Oryzias latipes: one gene and its partners. The protein of the gene in region 1 interacts with the protein of each later gene in a biochemical or structural test. Links are inferred from orthologs where the notes say so. Each region holds a gene or a part of one and is shown in the gene's direction. Other genes may lie near its edges.

Region 1 (3,500 bases):
TTATGGACCTTGCTTTAGTCACTGGTCCACAGTCATGTTGGAAGAGGAAGGGGCCACTCCAAACGGTTCCCACAAGGTTGGAGCATGGAATTGTCCAAAATGTTTTGGTATCATGAAGCATTCAGAGTTCCTTTCACTGGAACTAAGGGGCCAAGCCTAAATTACCACGCCATAATTCTTCCTCCACCAAATTTCACACTCGGCACAAAACAGTCCCAAATGTACCGTTCTACTGGCCACTTCCAAACCCAGACTCGTCCATCAGATTGCTGGATGGAAAAGTGTGATTCGTCTCTCCAGAGAAGGCGTCTCCACTGCTCTAGAGTCCAGTGGCGGCGTGCTTTTCACCTCTGCACCCGACGCTTTGCATTGCACTTGGTGACGTGTGGCTTGGATGCAGCTGCTCGACCATGGAAAACCATTCCATGAAGTTCTCTGCATGCTGAACTCGGGCTAATCTGAAGGTCACATGAAGTTTGGAGCTCTGTAGAAATTGACTGTACAGAAAGTCGGTGACCTCTTTGCACTACGCGCTTCAGCATCCGCTCACCCCTCTCCATCAGGTTACGTGGTCTACCACTTGGTAGTTGAGTTGCTGTTGTTCCCAAAATCTTCCGTGTTGTTCTTATAGAGCTGACAGTTAACTGTGGAAGATTTAGGAGTGAGGACATCAATGTAACAGGAGAAATTTGGTTTCACGAGCTACATAAAACAAAATCTTGCATTTTTATTTTTTTGTGTACAGTTTTGTATGTATGCATACACGTTCTTTTGACAGCTATCTTCCCCTACAGATCTGACTCATGTGGGTCCTTCATGTCACTTGGGCCCAGTCTGAAAATCCTGACGAGCTGCGTGAGCACACATTAGAGTCTTCAGAGAGAAAGCTGCCTAAAGAGGGAAGGCAGCCAGAGAGTGGCTGACCCAAAAACATCTTCACAACAGTTTTTAAGGAAACCGTTGAGTCCACTGATCACAGCTTACAGGGTCATGGAAACTCACAGTTTGCCTGCAGCGAAGCAGCAATTTTCAGCTTAGAAAAGAATTTGTAATCATAGAAACAAACGAAAGTTCTATATGAAAAAAGATCAGAACAGTTCAGTTCTGGGCTGGTTCTGTACTGAATCTGCTACACCGGGTCATGAGGAAGCTGCTGCAGTTTGTGTGATTCATGCTTTTTGTGTGTCCGCAGGATGATCTCCAAGCTCAGTAATGAAATCCGCAGGAACGAGGGGAAGAGAAGCCTGTTTGGTAAAAAGTACGTTCCTGTTTCCCTTAACCTGACTTAAACATTGGGGACTCAGTTGTGGTGGTCATCTTAGATTGACATGTGTTTGTAGCTGATTCTTCCAGTGTGAATAGAATTTGTGTCTTCACAAAGCCAGACTTGCACATAGGACTGTGGAAGCTCAGTCTGGGCTGAACACCGCAGAGGCTGCTGTTAGGATTCATCATGTGTCTGCAGAGGCCATGAAGACATTTCTGACATGATTTTTATCAAGCTTCTGAATGCACTGAACCCAGTCTGAGCATGAGTTGCTGTGAAGTTCTGATCCATGTCTGTCTTCCACAGACAAGCCCCCGTGTTTCCTGACGCAGGTGAGTTTCTCCTATACTGAGAATTCCTTAGTTTCTCCAAGAGAATTTTGCTGATGTGTATTTTTTTGTTTTTTACCTGTGATCAGGTTTCTGCTCTACAGACACCAGCTCTGAGGCCCAAGGGTGGAGCGATAATGAATTTGTAAGTTGATTTTTCCTCATAACCTTCAGCTTCTGAAGAGCTTTTGGAAATTTGGGAGCTTTGTGAAACAGCAACACCCTTACAGATCACCTCCATTTATTTATGATATGGCCGCAGCGGCTCAGGTGGTTGAGCAGGTCGGCCAATGATTGAAGGATTGGCGGTTTGATCACTGCTCCCCCCAGTCAGCTGCCGTTGTGTCCTTGGGCAAGACACTTGACCCTCCCTGCCTCCATGTGGCACCACTGGTGTATTAATGTGTAGGACTCTCCCAGCCCTGAACAGGAACAGAGGATGGATGGAATTTCAATTTTTGGAAAAACACAGAGATACACAATGCAAAACAGATAAGATCATATTAGGCTGAGTAACCGTTTTGGTAAAACTGATGTCTGACTCTAAAATGCAGGTCTGCATGAAACAAAACCAGGTCAGGGTTACTCATTTCAGGTCCAAGTCAGACATTGAAAGTCTTCAGTCCTGGATTTGTTGGACTTGAGTGAATCTTTCCCCAAAGTAGACCACTCTATTCCTTCAAAGAGACTGTGGAAGAGTTATGCTTGTTTTTGTTTGGTAAATGTCATTTATATGTTATTTTAAAACATTTTTACATTTAATGATTGACTAGGTTTTTTTAATATTATTTTTACTATTTTTATTGACTCTTTTGTTTTGTTGCATGCATTTTTTTTTCTTTTTATTTATTTATTTTAGGTTTCTCATGCAGTTTGACAGCATTTCCTCTGTTCTTTTCTTTCTATCACATCTATAAACCCTCTTTTGCCAACAGGAAGACGACGACGACTATGAGAGTCCGTACAGTGATGAAAAGGAAGAAAGTGACAACTACGAGTCCCCGAGCGAAGACCCATCTAACGAATACGAGCCCCCGCCTTCAGCACCATCGGATGATGGGGTTACCAAGTTTTACCCAACGTCCCCCATAGGGGAGGGGGATTATATTGGTACTCAATGAAGCACATGGTTGACTTCAGGCCTGCATACCACTACCTGAGTAGGTAACCAAAAGCCATGTTTATACCTCCACAGATAAAAGAGATAACCACACGTCTAACATGAGCGCACCTCCAGCTTTGAGTCCCCGCCCCCTGGCTTCCACTCTGCCAGGGCATTCATCCCGAGATGTGAGTACGCAGGGAGCCAAAAGATCTGCACCCGAGCAGAAAGCTTCTACCGAGCTGTCAGTAAAACCTGTCTTCAACCATTTCTCATTAAGAACTGATAACTCAGCGATACAGAGGAGCGTTGCAGCCAGCAAACCACTAGCTGCGTTTACATGGACAAAAGTAATCATAATGAACGCCTGATCAGAATAAAAATGCGTCATGTAAACACGCCGTTCTGAATACTCTGCCCTGATCAGTCATTTGGATCAAAATTTCTTTCCGATGGAGATAGGTGGGTTATGCCGATTGCAGGCAGGGGAGGTGCTTTGTTACTGTGTGCTCCGGAGGAGGCTTCAGTCCATCCGGCTGCTCTGCTTTAGCGAGCTGCTGGACTCAGGAGAACCGCGTCTCCCCACAACAGTGGAGCGGTTCTTGGATGTGTGTGAGCTAACGGAGGCAGCTTTGATTGGAGAAATGCTGCTCAGTCCTGAGAAACCGTGTGAACAATCATGTGAATTCATGTTTCCAATCATGTCCAGACATAATTAAGGCGGATGTTATTCCCACATATTTACGTTCAGTCAAGATACAGATTGCAGCATATCCCGCATGGATTTGAGCTATTTCCACGG
Region 2 (2,941 bases), on another chromosome or scaffold:
GGTTTAACTTTCAACACGCATTCAGTGGCAGCGCGTTTTCTACATGGAGCCTGAAAAATGGTCGTAAAAGCTTTCATAGCTACGCGTAAATGTGTGAGTTTTGATTGCGGAAGGCCCAAACCCATATTTAGGAGCGTTTCCATAGACTTTTCATCTGAAGTGGATGCTTGAACCTGTGTCGCTTAAGGCGGTGTGAACGTAGCATCAGAGGTGTCTTCCATACGGTTTCTTCTGCACGTTTGCATCAACTTAGTGATCCCAAACCAAAATGGTTATTGATTTAAAGTCCCATGTGTAAACTAAGTTCTTGTTGTGTTTGCCGTCCTCCAGGTGGTTCTTCGGGAAGATTCCTCGCGCCAAAGCGGAGGAGATGCTGAACAAGCAGAGGCTCGATGGGGCCTTCCTCATCAGAGAGAGCGAGAGCGCACCGGGGGACTTCTCCCTGTCTGTCAAGTGAGCGGCCGCACTCTGACGCCACAATCCAGGAAAAAATTACTCGCATTAGTTTTTCCATTCATATTTTTCCCCTTCAACCTGGGCGTGACGTGCTTCCTCATTTCTGAACAAATTTATGTTCTCGGAGTTTGAGTCACTTGTGGTTTTTCCCTTATTTCCAGTTTTTAAAAATGTTTTTAGAAAACAAATTTCTGATAAAACTACAATTTTTCTGCTTTTGTTTTTTCATTTAGTAATAAAAATGTTTTTAGGAGCATTTTTTTTCTTTGCTTCCCTCCACTCTCTTTCATTTAGCTGCTTCTCCACCACACTGTTCAGAGTCTGAGTTTCTGTTCTCTGCAGGTTTGGAAATGACGTGCAGCACTTCAAGGTTCTCCGCGATGGAGCTGGAAAGTATTTCCTATGGGTGGTGAAGTTTAACTCTCTCAATGAGTTGGTCGATTACCACCGCACCACCTCAGTCTCCCGCAATCAGCAAATCTTTCTGCGAGACATAGAGCAGGTTCCCCAGGTAAGACATCCCACTAAACTGTTCTTTAAAAATGGGGCTTAAGGATTGGTTTCTGTGTTGATGGAGCACACTGACTGTCCATGTGCACCTTCTGTGCAAATACATGAAGACACAAATGTCCCAGCATATGGGTTTGCAGCCCGACCACATGTGAGCTCAGCGGAAGACCTGCCGTGGAGCGGATCTTTGGCGTGGAACCGTGGGTGTAAAAAAACCACTCTGAGGTCACCACATGCCGAGGTCACATGACTGCACCTAATGCTTCTGATTCGCATCAGAGCTTTCTTTCTTTTAGCTGATCCATTTTTATGATGCATCGTAAAATCTAAATGTCACAGGTTTTCTTTTTAAAGACTTTATGGACGTAAACTAGAGCAGAACCTTTTTTTTGTTGTTGTTGTGGTCGTTTTAACTTTGAAAAGTATTTCTTATTGCAGCTACGCTGTGCCATCGGCCACATTTCAGTGTCACAAACGGTTAAACTGACATTTGGAGTACAGGATTACACAGAAGCGCTTTAAAGATGAATGTGAGATCATTTCATTCCTGCATGTTCATATTAGTCACAAAGGTGTTTCATGGTTTTGTGGAGAGCAGCACTGAAAATACTAATAACAATCAAATCCTAAACGCATTCAAGACTATGTACCATCCAGACTTCATCGTGGTATGATCCAATACATGGAAAGCTGTTAAAAATGCGTACTTTTATTTATATAAAAACTTACATTTTGACAAATTACTGTATCTTTTTGGACTATGAGTCGCTCCAGACTTGACAGTCACAGGAGCAAGAAAGAAGAAAAAGATCACAAATGCGTCACACTTCACGCCAAGCCTGGTGTTGGACTGAGCGCCACTTCTTCTGTCACGCTGTCAGTAGGAAATGCTGATGCGCACATCTACAGCGCCCTCTCGTGGTTGTTGCTATTGATTTTTTTTTTTTATACATATCAGTCGCACCTCAGGACAAGTTGCAAACTCAGCCAAACATATATTTATGTGGTATGTGGAGTTTAATTCTGCAGAAACAAAAGAATATAGTAGTAAAAACCTCTCCTGCTCTGCTGCACTCTGTTCTTTTTAGTCACAGTTGTTAAAAATAGACATTCATGTGAATGTTCTGTGATGGATTCAAATCAATTCAGATGTTGTAAAAGCAGCTCTTCAATGCTTGTGCGCCTTCTTTCTTTTGCTAAAAGCTTTTTCTCGTGATTGGATTGAGATGGCTGCACTAAACAACACGTTTGGTCCAGTTCTGAGTGAATGCATCGACATTAATGCCGCCGTTTAACGGGAAACATTCAGGCGTGGAGCTGTGGAGGCTCCGGCGTCCGACCACGGCCTCTCAGTCCAATGCATTGGAGATCAACTGTAAATGCAACGGAGAAGACTGCGATGCTGTGACGAAGAATCAGACAAGACGTCTAAAGCAGCGGTCCCCCAAACCCAGGACCGGTATCAGGGTTAGGGTAGCAGACAGAACAAAAATACATACTCCAACTCCGATTATTTCTGTTTTGTCTATTTTCTGATACTAAAGGAAGTTTTATTTTGGAAAACTACCGAATTTTGTTCACCACATCCGTCTGTCTGGACGCGTCACATGACTTTAGGCAGCTGTTCAACGCTTAAAAGCTAATAAAACCAACAAATAAATGTATTTGGAAAGTTTCTTTGGGGAGAAAAGAGTCTGCAGGGAAACCAAAGAAGACTCTTCCAATTCATCGAAAAATTGAGACCTTATTTACAGACAAAACCAGAAGTCTTCCTCCAAATACAGATTCACAGTCGTTCCCGCGTACCAGAAGCCGCTCTGCATAAATCTGATAAAGATGCAGACACGGTGGATTCACGTTTATTACGTTTAGAAAATACTTATTTTTACGTTAAAGGACATTTACGAATTTTCCTACAGCATGGATGAATTACGCTGGCATGTGTTAAGAAACTCGGCACAGAAAATGTTCCTCT
Region 3 (4,126 bases), on another chromosome or scaffold:
GACAGTGACCCGGAAACAAACTCGACGTTGATTGGTTGCGTCGACAAGCCTTTAAAGTATTTCATTATTAACCTTATAATTAGTGGGTTTTATTCAAAACTAATCTCTTTCCTGTATTAATTGTTTTAAACTTTTTGTTAGTTTTTGTTTGTTTAATATAGTGAGTTCAGGTTCTGATCCTGGTAGGCCTATAAATCTTAAAATATGTTCTTAAAATAAGCTGCTTAAGAAATCAAACCCAAGCAAAAAAAGTTCAGATCTGTAACCATAAAAAAGGGGGGGGAGGGGGACTCTAATTTTAAAAATGTATCTATCATTTGTTTTTACGCCCTAAATACAGTAGGGCAGGTGAAAGTGTCTAACTTTGAATTTTATGTTTCATTTTCTACTTAGTCAATTAGCAACACCTAATATTCATTCTTTTTCTTTTTTTTACACTTAAATAAAAATGGTCAAACTATTATAAGTAAGCTGACTTCATCTTGACCCTGACACTAAATAAGAATGACATGTAACATTTTATTTTATAAACGTTGTCATAGGCCTAGTGAATATTTAGCAGAGGGCAAAGGTTGTGCTTCGGAGTGTGCAAAACAAAACAAGAACATCGTATTTGAACCAAAATTGAAAAGAAAAATAAGAATCTTTCTAACCCCAAAGAAAACATAGCCTCATGAAAAGTACATCAAAGGTTCCATATTGTATTTGGATACATTTTTCTTAGAAACCAGACTTTTCTCTTTTGCTGTTTTCTGCATTTAGTGATTCATGAAACCTTGACATTCTTAGTGTTTGTAGGATATAACTTATCATGCATTTTACATTTTTAAAAATTGCATTTTTTTCATTTTTAAGTTTTCCTTCAGTAGTACTTTTTTACTACAATTTTGATACAAGCGGAGAGTTTCTTTTAAATGAAGAAAAAAGAAAATTTAAAAATTCCGAAAAAAAACCCCAGCTATGGCTTCTTAGGTATTGATTAACAGTGTTATTTTTGTTTTTAGCTTTTGATTTAATATGAAAATTTAAATTGTTTTCTAAAACATTTTTGTTTAACAACCAAGCAATTCTGACAAAAAGCTTACATTTTTATGCAAAATTTGATCAATAGTACATCAAAGGTTCATGTTAAAAAAAAAACCTTTATTGAGTTTAACACAACATACGTGATGATACGTGTGTGTATTTGTGTGCACATCAGTGTGTGATTGCTTGCACAGAGTGTTGCCACAAGGATGTGGTTTACTGCATGCAACTAACCCACGCCGGAAACTCTTCGGCATCTTCAATGTTTGCATTCTCCCTTTTTTTTCCCCCCTGCAGTCAGAGGCTTTCAGTTACTCCGTCCAATACCACCCAGTGTCTCCAGTGGTGTTATTCTCAACTGCTAACCATGTTTCCTCGGGTGATTTTGAAGGGAACCATGATCAAAAAATCTCAGCAAAAGAAGAGAACGTCACCGTGTAATTACAAAGAGAGATTTTTTGTTTTGGACACACAGGAGCTGAAGTATTCTGAGCGCCGTTCGGGGGTGAGTGCTTGTGTGCTTCATGGAATTGTCAAATTGAGCTTGACTGAACTGACAACTTTTGGAAATGGCACGATCTTGCAGAAGAAGCCCATGCTAAAAGGTTGCATTCAACTGTCCAGTATTAAGTGTGTGGAAATTGTGTGTAGTGACATCCCCATACCATGCCAATACAAGTACCCATTTCAGGTACCAGTCGCAGTTTTTTAACTTAAAAAATAATTTATTTCATTTTTAATTCAAAGGAATTTTGAAGATTTCTGTCTCATATTTTCTTTAAATCACAAATGCTTTGCAGGTTCTTCATGACAACTATTACCTCTACATTTTTGCTCCAGACAACGACTGTCGTATGAGATGGGTCAAAGCCCTCAAGGAGGGTAATTCAATCAGAACCTCTTTGTATCATTGTAATTTTAATATCTTGACCTGCATATAAAGAAATATGTTCATCTTTCTATGTAGAGACTAAATATAACAGTTTGGTTGCAAAATACCACACAAACTTCTGGATGGATGGAAAATGGAGATGCTGCCTACAAACTGACAAACTGGCAGCAGGTTGTCGTGTGTATGATCCAGTGGGTTGTGGTTTGTATTCATTTGTTATTGTTTCTTCTTTTAGTTACAATTAGATCTCACACGTTCCATTTCATATATTTATCATATATTTATTTCTTATTTGTTTACCTTTGTGAATATTCTCCCTAAAAAGGGATTGTGGCCTAAAAATCTGCATTTTAGATGCTAAAATCTTTATACTCTGCATAGGATTCTGTGTCAGTGCTTGTGATATGCAAGAAAAAGCCTTAACTACTAATTCCACTGTTTACTTAATCCACAGTCACTAAGAAGCCACTTCCCCAACTCCCAGATCCAGAGGTAGACCTCTTCAAATGTTAATGTTCTATTAATGCAGCCATTGAAAACTGACAAATCAGTTAATTTACAGCAATTTGTAGCAATTCATAGCAAAGTTACTTGACTTTTTTTTGCTTTGCCTTTTCTGTACATCTGGTAGATTTATTTGAATAGAACTGAGACAGCCGGTTTATTCATCAAATGTTACCCTAACTGTAAAAGTCCAGTCATGTCTTGTACATTGTTTTTGCCTTTTTGAATGAATTTTTAGTAGTGAATTGTTTCTTAGATATGGTTGATTTTTGCAGATGTCATTACAACCTTCAACACAGGGGATGGTCATAGCTTTGCAAGATTATGTGCCCATGGGAGACGACGATTTGCCCCTCCAGAAAGATCAGGAGTACCTGTTGATCAACAGCTCCCACTCTGAGTGGTGGGCTGTGCAGGACGACAAGGGGTAAGGCTTTAAAAAATAAATAAATAAATAAAAAAGCAGATTTGACCTTCTTTTAAAAAACCAATACATTGAAAATTAAATATTTCTAAAGAACATATTTGTGATTTTTTTTTTCTTAACAGTAAAACTGGTTTTGTGCCCAGTACGTACGTTGCGGAAAAATGTGGCAAAAACTTTGAGAGATTTCAGTGAGTTTTGTCAGATCTTATTTAATCTTACACATCTACAAGACACTGTTTAGATGTACTTGTTGATTTGTCGCTTTACAGATGGTACAACAAGCACATTAACAGAGCCGAGGCAGAAGACTTGTTAATGAAAAAGGTAGGAGCATAAACCACTTATTTATTTATTTATTTTAAACTTTGTCGTGCTTTATGGAAAATTACCTGGTTGGTAATCTCAAAAATCAAGTAAAAGAAAAAAAAAATTCCTCTGGCATGATAAGACGCACTTTACTTTTCAATAGTGCCGCCCACAGAAATCTTGCTTTTGCAAAAATAATGCACCTGCAAACTGACATTGTGGAGTGACATGGGACGTGAACATTTGTTCTCAAAACCGCGATGTTTCCTTCAAAACTGAATTTCCTGCTGACAGAATGTCTGCTGAACTTTGCAAACAGGTGGGAGAACTGCGCTCCCATCACCTCCTGCGACTCAGACACTTTCAAAGAGCTTGGCCAGCAACAAATCTTAAAAAAGTGAGAAAAGAGATGTGTGCAAGACAGTCAGCTGTGTTATGCAATATCTTCATTCTTACTACAGGGAAAAGAAGGTGCATTCATGGTGCGGGACTCAAGACAAGCAGGAGTCTACACGGTGTCCGTTTACACCAAAGCGCCCGGGTAACTGTCATTTTAACCACATACAACTCAAAGAGTCTACACAAAATGTGCTTTCTGACATTTTATTTTACATTAGTATGTTTGAACATGTTCTACATAAGTAAACATCCCCTTTTTCTGTCTTTTTTAAAAACATTAGTTTACATTTTGCTATTTTCTTATGATGTTTGTTGCTCTAAAATGTAAATACATATGTATTTTTTAGATCAAAAGGTGAAAAGAATCCCAGGGTGAAACATTATCAGATAAGGCAGGAGGAAGGAGGACAGTTCTACTTGGCTGAAAAGTATCTGTTCAACACCATTCCTGAGCTCATCCACTATCACCAACACAATGCTGCTGGTAAACATGCCTTCTGCACACATTTAGCATTAAGGAATTTGTTTTTCTTTGATATATATTTATATATATTTGCATGATAACTTATCTA
Region 4 (4,295 bases), on another chromosome or scaffold:
CCTCTGGGTATTTATAAAGGCTATAAAGGAGGTCATGTCTTATTAACGTCTGGCACTATAAAACAAGCATGCTTCACTAACAGCCCAGCAGGTGGCATTCATGATCTACTTCAGTAATCTGACTGCTAAGGGCAGTAGAAGCAAGTAAACTACAAATTCAATTATTGGGATAATTAGTTGAAAAAAAAGATAAATTAACACCATCTGATGACTTCCCTTTTCTCTCTGGTTTAAAGAAATCACAAAAAACATTTGACATTTTATCTTAAAGTCAGCAACAACCGGACAATATCTGTGGAATTTGCACAAACATTGTCACCTGACTTAGTTTTAAAAAGAACAAATTTCCATTATCTGTAACTCCACAAAGTGGTTTTAGTGTCAAAATTCAAATTAAAAACAAAATCTAGTTTAGTCTTTCCGTTCTAAAGTGGAGAACCCAATGTGTCCATAATCTTTTTTTTTTATTTATTTGACCTTTTTATTTTTTATTTTGGCAGGCTCATTGTTTCAAATAAAGCTTAAAGCTTGACAACATGGATTTGTGTGTGTTTGAACCATAACAAGCGCTGCAGTTGCTGCAGGCTTGCTTTGAGTTGGGATCTTTCGGCGGGTAGACTGAACTTGTAGTAGAGGTCCATCTGCTTAAGCAGGAAACAGATTGCATCCTGCAACAAGCTGCAGAACCCTCCAAATTACTCTGCGACTCTCTTCACCACAGACCTGTTTATTAAATATGTCATTGTTTGAGGGGAGGGCGTTGAGTTCAGAGGCGTTGGAGGATGAGTTATTGTGCCAATATCTATTTGGGTGTGTCTGTGCCTTGACTCTGCAAGTGACTGAGCATTTTGTTGGTCATGAAAAACAACATGATTGTCTAAAACACTGCAGAATCCTAAATTCTAACAATTTGCTTTAATGCTTGTCAAATGAACTTTCACTTTTAATACGAAACAAAACAAATTTTCCAGGAAAAAAAGTGGATTGTTTTTCAGCAGTTGTATTAGACCCTTTTTGAAAGTAATCTGTATTTAAAATGTATTTTTTACAAAACTATGTCTGACTAAGGTTAAAAATGGAATTCATGTTTTCAATATTTAGGATAATAGCCTTAATATCAGCCTAAATGTAACAATATGTTTTCAAACAAACAGTAGCTGGTTGAATATCAGTGCATGTAAAATCAAATGTAATGATTAACTTTTCTTGAAACATGCAGGAATGTGATTGTTGTGGGGGCTACACACAACTTTTCTGAGGTACAGATTGGTCTAATTTGACCCGTTATCTGAAAAATCAAATATAATTTCTTTATTTTAATTTGCTTTCTCTCTTTGATTTCTTCTTTTTTATCCGAGTAGAAATAACTGTTTCCTAAAACAAAGCAGAACATTCAACTGCAGTGTAAATGATTGACAGGTGAGTTGTCCAATAGGAACGGAGTGGATTCTCCAGCAGCCAATCCCGTTGGAGTAAGGGAGGCTGAGACTGCGGCTAGCTAGCTAGCTTAGCCGTGCAGTAGCAGTGATACGGTCTGATGCAGAAATGCCACACTAGCGAGCAAAGCGTCTCCTCAGCTAGGCTAGCTTCTTGGATTGGTTATGGTGACTTGCTCCTAGCTAGCGGGCATCCTTTTTTTCTCGAGTATTTTTTCTTAAGACCCTTTTCTAAAAATCCTTTCCAGAGAGAAGAGAGAATTGGAGGCGGCCATCAGTAGTCAGGTAAGAGACGTGGTTTGAATAAATATCTGGCTTGTTGAATTTATGCCCCGCTGCCTGCAGATCCACGCTGCTGCCGCTGAAACGTTTGTCCTGAGTAATATAAACTAGCTCCTGATCTCACTGAAACCAACATTAAAGCTCACACAGGCTAAAGGTTAAGACTTAACCAAACTGATCAAAAATACTAATCAGCCTTAGTAGCTGTAACGGTTTCATGTAATCCCTCTGCGGTATACATTTTTTTCTTTCTTTCTTTTTTTTAAGCCACGTTGGATGTATTGACACGCTGTCAAGCTAAAGTTATGACATTAAATCTAAAAACTGAAGTTTAGCAAAAGACTGACGCATTTGAAAGCATTTAGTAAAAAAAATGAAGCGTTTTGTGACTGTATAGTGTCATTTTATTGCATATATTGTAATATTATTTAATGACTTGTGTTATTTTGACTGTAGCATCTTAAAATAAAGTTCAAGCTTAAGGGTTGAAGTTCCTCTCCATCTCAGCTTGTATCAAAAATATCATTATTAATGCGTTTTTTAAAAAAATGATTTTACACAAAAAAAAATAACAAACATGTTTTATTTGAAAAAAGAGCATTTTTTGTCTCCCAAAATCCACCTAGAGTTGCTTCTTCATGGTGCCAGTATTTTCCCCAACCAAATGGCTCTTTGGATTTCTCTTTTGTTTATTTGAAGTCCTTTGGATGGGGATGTTCATGGGATGCAAGGGAGTAACATATCCAAACACCAGCAGCTGCTGAACACTGGCTTCTTTTGTTGTTGTCAACACTGAAGGTTTCTGAGAGAAACACTTTGTCTTCTGGAATCCTGTCCAGATTAAAAAGTCATGTGGAGGTTAGGCACACTTTAAAGAGGGGGTGATGTCTTATCAGCCTGTTTTAACGTGCTAAAATGTGCATTTTTATACCCATAAACGGGAATAGCCACAGGTTGAGGTGCTTGGAAAAGTTGCAGCTGTCAGCTGTCACTGTTGAGGTTTCCTCTTGAAGCCGGCTTTCAGTGTAGACGTGCACGCTTTGCAGTAACGGTAGTTTGTCTTCATCTAAGGCCTGCTTCTGTGGATCTCCCCCCTCATCCCCACCGATTGCACACATATGTTATTACACTAAAACCTTCTGGATATGGAATGATGATCTCATTTTATAGAATATCCTTTTGTCATCTCTTTTCTTGCGTCTGCCTGCACTTCCTGTCTCCACCAAGTCGAACTCAAGTCGAAGGGGAAAATATCAAATGGGCATTTTATGAGAGCCAGAAAACTCCACTGGCTTGCAGTTTGCCTCGTGAAATAAGTCGTTTTACTGATCTCTCTTCATGAGTTCTTTGCTAAAAATGTAAAGAAGTGGGGCGTTTTAAATGTCGATATTCTCTCCTTTTTTCCCTCCCAAATAGAGTTATTGCAACATTTTTCAATGCATTTCCTCTTTTTTTCTGGATTCAGTTTTGAAAAACCCTTTTGCGTCGATTGCTCTTGCATGTCAACATGTTTCGACATTTCATAACCCTTTCTTGTGCAAATAGACACAATCTAGAGAAGATTTCTTTGTTAGATAGTTTATCCAAAAAAAAAAAAAAAAAGATATGCCGCATTGTTTAGTTTTGGATGTACTCTGAGGAGAAGTTTCCATTAATGGCTTTCTTTGTGGTAGCTTTTTCTCACTTCTGCAAAGGTTTAGCACCTGAGTGCGGTTTGAATGTCTGCTATCGATTTTAATTTTAGGTTAATTATAAGGTTTCCTGTTAAAATAAGTACTTTCAGTTGTGCTTTATTTCGGTCATACTTCATGATGGTTTGGGGGTTTTCTTTCAGTGGCTTTGGACGAGTAAAATTGAGGATGTGGGCACTTGAGCAACAGTGACTTCATATTGTTATGGACAAACCCTGCTGCAGTTATGACAAAAAAGGGAAATTAGTCATATTTTAGTCTTTATAGAAAATACGTTTCCATTATGATAAAAAAACAAACCTTTGCAGGCATTGTTTTTTTTAAATAATTATTTAATTTTTACGCTTTTATTCCAATTCTGATTAGGAGCATACTATCAAATTGAAAACTCTACATCACTGATTTTGTTGTAAAAAGGAAGAAATCTGTGTATTTTGTGATTTAAAAACAATACAATTTGACCCCTAAGGTGACTATTGGATGGATGGATAGATAGGATGATGGATGGATGGATGAACGGACGAATAGATCGATAGATGGATAGAAAGATAAATGATGGATAGATAGATGGTTGGATGGATCAATGGATAGATGGATGGATGGATGGATCAATCGATGGATGAACTGACTAATAGATAGATGTATGGAAGGATTGAAAGATTGATGAATAGCAGGATGATGGATGGATGGATGAATAGGTTGATAGATGGATAGAAAGATGGATGATGGATAGATCGATGGATGGATGGATCAATCGATGGATGAATGGACAAATAAATAGATAGATGTATGGATGGATGGATGGATAGATAGATTGATGAATAGAAGGATGATGGATGAATGGACGAATAGATCGATAGATGGATAGAAAGATGGATGATAGATG
Region 5 (3,951 bases), on another chromosome or scaffold:
CATTTTAAATATGATATTCAGACTTTTAAACATCAAAAGCAACAATAACATTTAAAGTAACAACAACCATTAAACCGACTTCAAAGCTACAATCCATCCATCAGTTCTCTGAACCTGCTGAATCCCTTTCAGGGTCATAGGGTTGTTGGAGCCTATCCCTGTTACTGTTGGATAAACCCTGGAGAAGCAGCCAATTTGTTGCAGGGCTTAAAGTAACTAAATATCTAAAATCAAAATAAAGGAGTTGTTTTTCCCTGAAGAAAAAACATGCACTCAATCAATTCTATTCCTACTGATTGGTTCATTTAATAAGATCAACAAACTATAGATGTTTCTCTGTTCACCTTTTTTATGAGGCAGAAAATGCTCAAAGTATCAGTTTGCAGCGCAGTGCAAGCAAACCTGATAGCCCAAGTGAAAAGATCAAATCAGGAACCTTTTTTCCATCACTGTAGGTGTACAGCCATTCTATACGTGTGTGAAAAACGTCTGCCTTTGTCTGAGATTTGAAGCCTTAACATCTGAGAAACAAAGAGACCCCAAACCAAGTCTGACTGCAAAGCGCAAGTGAGGCAAATAATGCAAACAACAATAGCGGGCGTTAACCCCGACGACACCTGCAGGGCTGCATGTGTGTGTTTGTTGGTGCAGGGGCGGGGAGAGCTGCACCATGTACTAGAAACTACACACTTATTCACTTTTTCCTTTAATTTTTTGCTGCAAACACATAAAACCACCAAAGTCCGCTAGTCACTGAACGATTTTACACCTCATGTAGGAAACCATTATTTTCCACTTACATGCTATCTGGTTGTGAGGAATTCATGAAATAATTGCTACTGTATTTGCATTTTCATTTGTTGTGCATTTGCTTCTACGCAAATTTTTGTGTTGTTTTTAGGGATACAAAAAACTCCCCTAAAAGTCACAATATGTACTTTGTGTTTGTGGCTGCAGATAATTTACTCCGTATAAGGATAAAGCAGCAATTTTCAAGGTGCTGGATCGGCGTTCTTTAAATTAAAACAGTTGACAACAGCACATGATATATCAGCTTGCAGCAGCACACGCACACATGCAGCCTCACACATGCAGAGGGGGGAAGGTTCAAATGAGGAAGTGTTCTGTTCTGACCTTTGTGTTTCGCACACTCGTACACACCTGGAAGTAAAGAACAGAGGGCAGATTCAGCCGACAGGTGGAGGAAACTTTGCAAATACTTTCTGTTAGACAAAGAGCGGGCATATTTGTGCATTGATGAGGAGATGGAACTGCCTTTTTGGAGGGTGTTTTTCAACCATACGCCTGTTGGAATTGCCGTTGTCTCACAGCTCTGAACAGAGGAGTCATCTAAAGAAGCTCTGCAGCTGTTTTTCCAGAAGACGGAGGTGATGGAGTTGAAGCCTTCTCTGCTCTTAGATTGGCAACGTTTTTATTTTGGTCATCAATAAAAGAAAAAGAAAAAAAAAAGACACCATCTTTATCTGCTTGAGGAATTCCGGCCTGTCAGCTATTTTGGTTCCTGTCTTGCTTTCACTACTTTGTGAAAGGAGACGTAGAAAGGAAGGAAGGGGAGAGCGTATGAGCACGACGCAGAGGAGGGGAGACAGACACATACAGCGTCAACGTCTCGACCAGTGTCAGTTGTTTTCAGGAGCAGCTGAGGAGAGTAAGTGTTTACCTGCTTTTGCTGTTGAAGGGAAGACTGAGAACCGGGGTCAGCGGCGGTCCGCTGGTGGGTGGTGGCGGGGCAGGGGTGGGTATTAAGTTAATGTGTTACACCAGAGGGAGAGCAAAGGCAATTAGATTTAATTGATTCTTGATAAAAATATCTTAAGTTGAAGGTCAAGTTAGCGCTTGACATACCAAATGTGTTTGCGGTAAATGTACAATTCAAGTAGACCAAAAGTAAGGAAGCTGCAAAAACTACACAAACTTTCAACGCCAAAGTGTGTGATCTGAGTCTACACATGTGCCGCAGGAACAAGCGACTCTTCCCAAATCGCTCTTCTTCTCTTTAGTCCCAGAAAAAGTGAGGAGACGCCATGGTTCGGTGAGTCAAGCCTCTGCCGGACACATCAAACTCTGGTTTTGTTCTTTGTGTTTTGTGCAACAACTTCTCTGTTTCCATTCCTCCTTTTGTCTATTCCCTGCTGCTGGCCTGTCCTGCTCCTCTTCTGTCATGTCATTTGTGATCCCTCGTCAGCTAAACCCTGCAAGTTCAGTATAAGAGACTGGGACATAAATAAAGTGTTTAGGTTTCAGTTCTGTTGTTTCCTCAAAGCTCCACAGTGTCAGACAGATCATGTGTTCGAAAACAGTTATTAACCTTTTTTGTGCAATATGTCAGATTTTAAAAACCTGGTTATTCGTCTAGCTAATAAGGCTGTAAAGCAACATAATTTATTAAAGTACGTCAGCATTACTGACTATGCCCTAATGCACGCTTTGTTTTCCTGATGATCAACAAATTGCATGTAGGTAAAGTGAAAATAGTTTCTGAAGGTTTATGTTAAACCCTTATTGGATCAAGGATTTGGACTGTGGTTCATCACATGAAATTGTCTTTTATCTTTCTTAGGCCAGTGAAACCAAAGGCTTTAATAAAACCTTTAATTTATCACGTTAAAGTCACCCTCTGCCTTAGTATTATTTATGTTTGAGACTCTAAAACAAAAAATATAAAAATGAATATGTTGATTTTGAGGATTTTTACAAAGAATCTACTCAAGATTGTAATGAAACCTAATAATGTTTAAAAGATCATCACCTGAATTTCTTCCCTTCTTTTATTAAAAAGTACAGCTTTTCTCTCCATCTTTACACTTTCTTGCACCCCTGATCTTGTCGAGAAACTCCCATCTCTCTTTTGCGTATGCGTGCACCTGGATTTTCTTGGTCTATTTAAAGCTGTACATTTTAAATCTATGTGACACATGTATGCCTTCTACTAGGTCAATGTTGTTGTGCTTCATCTTTTCTATCTTTGTGCGTCGATCCAGGTGGTTCCACAGAGACATCACAGGCCTGCAGGCTGAGGAAATACTGAAGCTGCGAGGCATTGACGGAAGCTTTTTAGCTCGACCCAGCAAGAAAAACGTTGGAGATTTCTCCCTGTCTGTCAGGTAATGTCTGGTGTGAACAGATGCAGCACATGAGCTGCATCTGCAAAACTTCTTTCAAGTTTTGCAGCCTTTATTTGATGATAAGAAAATAAGCTGAGAGCTGCAGGCTCCCGCCAGGGCCTATATTTTGATGCGAATGATCTACGCACACATGCCAGTTTTGTTGGAGGCCTTTTCTTAAAGTGAGTAAAAGTAGCAGCAATGGAAGCGATTCTTATAATTTATAAAACTTTGCGGATTGAAAAAAAAGGTTGTTACAGAACTCCAAAAGACGTGGTTGCATCTTCTTTGAACAACAGCAGAAAATTAGTCAGATTTGCTCATTTTAGATGTCTTATCTGTAACTTCTTACAGCAAAAGATCCCTTTCCAAGCTCCACTTTGTGAAAACAGTTAGCACTTTCCAATTTTGTGTGAAAAAGTGCACAGCTCTAAATGATCTACTTACTCCCAAGGCCACTTTCTTAGAAAAAAATGCATTTTGGTTAATTCTTATCCTTTCATTTGGATTAAAAAACAATAATTCTAACAGAAAAAACATGTTTTTATGTAAAAAAAAAAAAAAAAAAAAAAAAAAAGAGTCTGAAAGCTTGATCGACAGTTTGATGAACCAAAAATGTTATTTTTGTTTGTAAAATTGTCTATTAAATCTGATTTTTTATTTATTCCGATGCTAAAGCCGCATTTTTCTAATATTTCTCCTCCTTTGGCCGCCCAAGTTGAGCTTAAAAATATGGAAAATAAATTTGTTGTTACACATGCTGCCAAAAATCTTTTAATAGGATCGATTGACTTCGATATTTGATAAGCTCGCAGCTGTAGCCAGG
Region 6 (3,500 bases), on another chromosome or scaffold:
CCAAATTTAAACAATATCATTACTCAAATGTAATGAAAGAATTAAAAAAATAGAAGTAAAATGTTGTTAAGGTTTTTTCTTTATCTTTTTTAATTCATTTATTGCATTTTGTTTATAATCCAGAAACACTTAAGAAATGTTGTCAATTCTTCATAGTTCAATATTAAGAGGAGTAAATACTTTTGACCAATCAGAGGTTTTGGTCAAAAACTGTTTGCCACCATCTAGGAAAAAAGTCGTAAAATTTCACAACCAAAATGTAAAAAAACTAAACTTAAAAAAGAAAAAAGTCTAACCTACATTTTTAAATGTATTTATTATTATGTTTACAATGTAAAAAAGTAAAGCAATTTGGAACTAGAAAGTTATCTGAAGGACATTATTTCTTGAATTTCAAGAATTTCAAGGATCTTAATTTTATTTTCACAACAGGGTGACATGAATTTGGTTCCTGGTCAGCCAACTACAGAGCAGTAAAAAAAAAAAAAAACTTAATCAAATATTGAAAAAGCTTTTCACAATATTGATTTAGGAGGCTTGTTGGCTTTTTTGCAGAACAGTTTCAGTTTAGACAGCTAACCATGCATCCACACTGCAGTGTCTGGCTCTCTTTGTTGTGGTGAGCTGGGGGTCAGGCTACAGAGGGCTCTTGCTTCCTGTGGCTGCAGAACGCCTCTGCTTGGTTGTCCACTGTGGATGTGGGCAGAATCCTGAGCATAAAGTCAGGAAACTGAGGTTCTGCATCATCTTTTTAGTCTTTTTTATGAAGCCAATATAAAAAAGAATCAGATTTAAGAGGGTGGGTATATCCAGTTTCGTGCATAGGAAGATGTGAGCTACAGAGAAATACTGCAAAGACAGGACGTGTGCAACATCCTATGTAGTTGACTGAAGTTTGGAGGTTGTATGTGTCATCGCATACATGTTCCAGACTGCACAATTTCATGCTGATCTTTCTTTAAGTCACAAGCTTCAGAACCTACAGGCTTCAACACAGTAAAAGTGACAGTTTTTTAGAAAATAAATTAGCACGCTGTGCCTCTACCCCCCCTCATAAAGGAAAATGTCACAAACTTTCTAAAGTGAAATGCTCCAGAACCCGGCAGCACCTGTTCAACGGAAGAACAGCGTGTTGGAGAAATAAGGCTTTGAGGGCGGATTGTGACTTCCTGTTGTGGCTTTTGTCAATCTGCAAGCTTCATGCAACCTTATCTAGTGGGCGCTTCATGCTTAAGGTCCTTTCCAAGAGAACATCATCCTCAGATTTCATTTTTTCAGAGCTGAAAGTTTAAGAACAAAAACATTGGTGCTTTGAGTTTTTTGTCAATGCTATTTGAGCACAACTGGGATAAGCAAAAGAGGTGAGAATTTTACATTTTTCTGTTTTTTCATGTTTTTTGAATAATTGGGCGAAGGAGAGGAAGTTTTTTGATTGAGCTGAGTGGAACAGGATGTGACTAAAAAGGTCAGAGGTCCCAGACGGGATTTACCTTTGTGTGTATTCATTAAAGGCTCCTCCACTGAACAAGCATGTTCTTCTGCCTCTCTAGTTTCCCAATCTGAACTTTATCCAGGGCTTCCAGAACCCCGACTAGCTGACATTCCAGGTTTCAGGATGTCCGTCGACCCCGCAATCGAACTGCCTTTCTTCTATGGAAGCATCAGTCGCTCAGATGCAGAGCAGCAACTGAAACTGGGTGGCATGGCCGATGGCCTCTTCTTGCTCCGACACTGTCTCCGTAATCTTGGAGGCTACGTCTTGTCAGTTGTGTGGAACCTGGAGTTTCACCACTACTCCATAGAGAAGCAGCTGAACGGGACTTACTGCATCGCAGGAGGGAAGCCTCACTGTGGACCGGCAGAGCTCTGTGAGTTTTACAGCAAAGATCCAGACGGTCTGGTGTGCATCCTGAGAAAACCTTGCTTGCGCCCTCCGAATACACCAATCAAGATGGGGGTGTTTGACAAAATAAGAGTGAACATGTTGAGGGAATACGTCAGGCAGACCTGGAACCTGGAGGTAAGATTCTGGTTATCTCTAAAAACTGTCATTTCAATATTCTCAGAACTGGTTCAAGTTTACTGCTCTTCATCCCATTTGACTTTTTGTTTGCTTTTAAGAAACATTTTTTGAGAATGCACAGCATAAAAAAGAGGACATCTTCTTTAAAGTCAACTGCAAGGACTGGGATTACTTGTTAGTATTGAAGGACAAGTAAAACCACAAACAGCTGTATTTTCTTCAATGGTTTATCCTCATTACATTTAGACTGACATTTAAACTTCCAGTGTCAGATTTCATGTCCAAACCAAAATATAGACACCTTTGTATAACATACCGGTAATAATCCAGACTTTTGTTCCTGTAAAAAATGTTGTTGGGAAAACTCATCACTTAAGTAACCACTACAATCACTCCTGAGTCCATCTACATGGGAGGAGGCCATCCAACATATAACAGAACTAACTCCATCTGGCTGGTTATACATTAATCCGGCCCAAAGTGGAAAAACTTTAAACTATTTGATCAATTTCTAGGTAGGGCTTGAGAAAACAGAAAAGTAACATCACTGTTGTTGAAAAGGCAACAGGAACATTTTACACACACATGGACATACTTCAGTGCCATTATCAAGATCAGTCAAAAAAAAAAAGAAATTGTCTCTTAGGATTCTTTGGGAGACAAAAAAATATTAAAAATGGAAAAAAAAATTTTTAATATTTAATAAAAGAACAGTTTGTATCATCTATTTTTTTTCTTTTTTAGTTCATTAATGGATAAAATGCTTTATCTCAGTCTGGAAAAACTGTCAAAAATTTCAAAATTGAACTTTAGCATTGATAGATAGATAGACAAAAAGGAAACATTTTAGACATCGTGTAAAGATGTAAAAATTAAAACTGTAAAACCGGGTGATACTGTTTTAAATTTTGTGGATTTCAACCATCTTGCAGCTAAAATTGTCTCCAAAAAGAAACGGATGCCATGCTTTTCAAACTCCTGCCATCTTAATCAATCAATTTAATATTCTAGCACTTTTTAAAATTTAAACCACCCTTTTTCTGTCAAGAAAGTCAAACAGAACTAACTCTACTGTTTCTGTTCATTCTAAAAGTATGTTTAAGCGTTGTGCCTGCACTAACACACTCAAAAATTAAGGCAATTTAAGGATACAAGATTTTTTTAAAGAAAATAGGAACAAAGAAAGGGTCAGTTTGGACAAATTGTACCTCCCCTGTAGCTTAAGACACTTAGCTTTGATTCACTTTAATGTGTTACACACTGTCTAGTTTCAACATCATCCCTCCTGCTGCGACCAATCTGAAGCAGACTGGCACCTTTTATGGGCTCTAGTTAAACAGTCAAACAAGTTCCAGTTGTTTGCAGGCTCAACTTGTTTTGCCAAACATCCCACCTTTTACCGCAATGCAGGCCCAATGTAGGTTTGCTGACTCTGAAAGCTTACCGATGGTTGCAAGTTGTGATGTGAACGTGCAGA

Evidence for each region.
Region 2: the proteins of lcp2 (region 1) and grb2 form a complex in vitro, tested with the Homo sapiens proteins (4 studies listed by BioGRID and IntAct, with this or other methods). The link is inferred for Oryzias latipes from reciprocal best matches to the Homo sapiens genes LCP2 and GRB2.
Region 3: the proteins of lcp2 (region 1) and itk form a complex in vitro, tested with the Homo sapiens proteins (2 studies listed by BioGRID, with this or other methods). The link is inferred for Oryzias latipes from reciprocal best matches to the Homo sapiens genes LCP2 and ITK.
Region 4: the proteins of lcp2 (region 1) and nck1 form a complex in vitro, tested with the Homo sapiens proteins (2 studies listed by BioGRID and IntAct, with this or other methods). The link is inferred for Oryzias latipes from reciprocal best matches to the Homo sapiens genes LCP2 and NCK1.
Region 5: the proteins of lcp2 (region 1) and ptpn6 form a complex in vitro, tested with the Homo sapiens proteins (2 studies listed by BioGRID). The link is inferred for Oryzias latipes from reciprocal best matches to the Homo sapiens genes LCP2 and PTPN6.
Region 6: of the proteins of lcp2 (region 1) and tyrosine-protein kinase ZAP-70, one has a biochemical effect on the other in vitro, tested with the Homo sapiens proteins (2 studies listed by BioGRID). The link is inferred for Oryzias latipes from reciprocal best matches to the Homo sapiens genes LCP2 and ZAP70.

Annotation. Positions count from the first base shown.
Region 1 is NC_019872.2:3,251,002-3,254,501, reverse strand, and holds part of lcp2 (lymphocyte cytosolic protein 2), read left to right. Parts: intron 1-1,192; coding exon 1,193-1,258; intron 1,259-1,573; coding exon 1,574-1,599; intron 1,600-1,685; coding exon 1,686-1,741; intron 1,742-2,531; coding exon 2,532-2,706; intron 2,707-2,791; coding exon 2,792-2,886; intron 2,887-3,500. UniProt on the Homo sapiens protein: Adapter protein primarily involved in signaling pathways within T-cells, as well as other immune cells such as platelets, mast cells, and natural killer (NK) cells.
Region 2 is NC_019866.2:20,735,366-20,738,306, reverse strand, and holds part of grb2 (growth factor receptor-bound protein 2), read left to right. Parts: intron 1-330; coding exon 331-453; intron 454-798; coding exon 799-967; intron 968-2,941. UniProt on the Homo sapiens protein: Non-enzymatic adapter protein that plays a pivotal role in precisely regulated signaling cascades from cell surface receptors to cellular responses, including signaling transduction and gene expression.
Region 3 is NC_019868.2:21,188,700-21,192,825, forward strand, and holds the start of itk (tyrosine-protein kinase ITK/TSK), read left to right. Parts: upstream 1-1,326; 5' UTR 1,327-1,393; coding exon 1,394-1,531; intron 1,532-1,612; coding exon 1,613-1,717; intron 1,718-1,826; coding exon 1,827-1,908; intron 1,909-1,993; coding exon 1,994-2,119; intron 2,120-2,372; coding exon 2,373-2,410; intron 2,411-2,697; coding exon 2,698-2,849; intron 2,850-2,971; coding exon 2,972-3,037; intron 3,038-3,118; coding exon 3,119-3,173; intron 3,174-3,616; coding exon 3,617-3,696; intron 3,697-3,901; coding exon 3,902-4,038; intron 4,039-4,126. UniProt on the Homo sapiens protein: Tyrosine kinase that plays an essential role in regulation of the adaptive immune response. Regulates the development, function and differentiation of conventional T-cells and nonconventional NKT-cells.
Region 4 is NC_019878.2:18,398,983-18,403,277, forward strand, and holds the start of nck1 (cytoplasmic protein NCK1), read left to right. Parts: upstream 1-1,495; 5' UTR 1,496-1,721; intron 1,722-4,295. UniProt on the Homo sapiens protein: Adapter protein which associates with tyrosine-phosphorylated growth factor receptors, such as KDR and PDGFRB, or their cellular substrates. Maintains low levels of EIF2S1 phosphorylation by promoting its dephosphorylation by PP1.
Region 5 is NC_019874.2:20,377,659-20,381,609, reverse strand, and holds the start of ptpn6 (tyrosine-protein phosphatase non-receptor type 6), read left to right. Parts: upstream 1-1,151; 5' UTR 1,152-1,669; intron 1,670-1,981; 5' UTR 1,982-2,045; coding exon 2,046-2,053; intron 2,054-3,002; coding exon 3,003-3,125; intron 3,126-3,951. UniProt on the Homo sapiens protein: Tyrosine phosphatase enzyme that plays important roles in controlling immune signaling pathways and fundamental physiological processes such as hematopoiesis.
Region 6 is NC_019862.2:14,807,314-14,810,813, reverse strand, and holds part of tyrosine-protein kinase ZAP-70, read left to right. Parts: exon of another isoform or gene 1-1,465; intron 1,466-1,550; exon of another isoform or gene 1,551-1,574; coding exon 1,575-2,020; intron 2,021-3,500. UniProt on the Homo sapiens protein: Tyrosine kinase that plays an essential role in regulation of the adaptive immune response. Regulates motility, adhesion and cytokine expression of mature T-cells, as well as thymocyte development.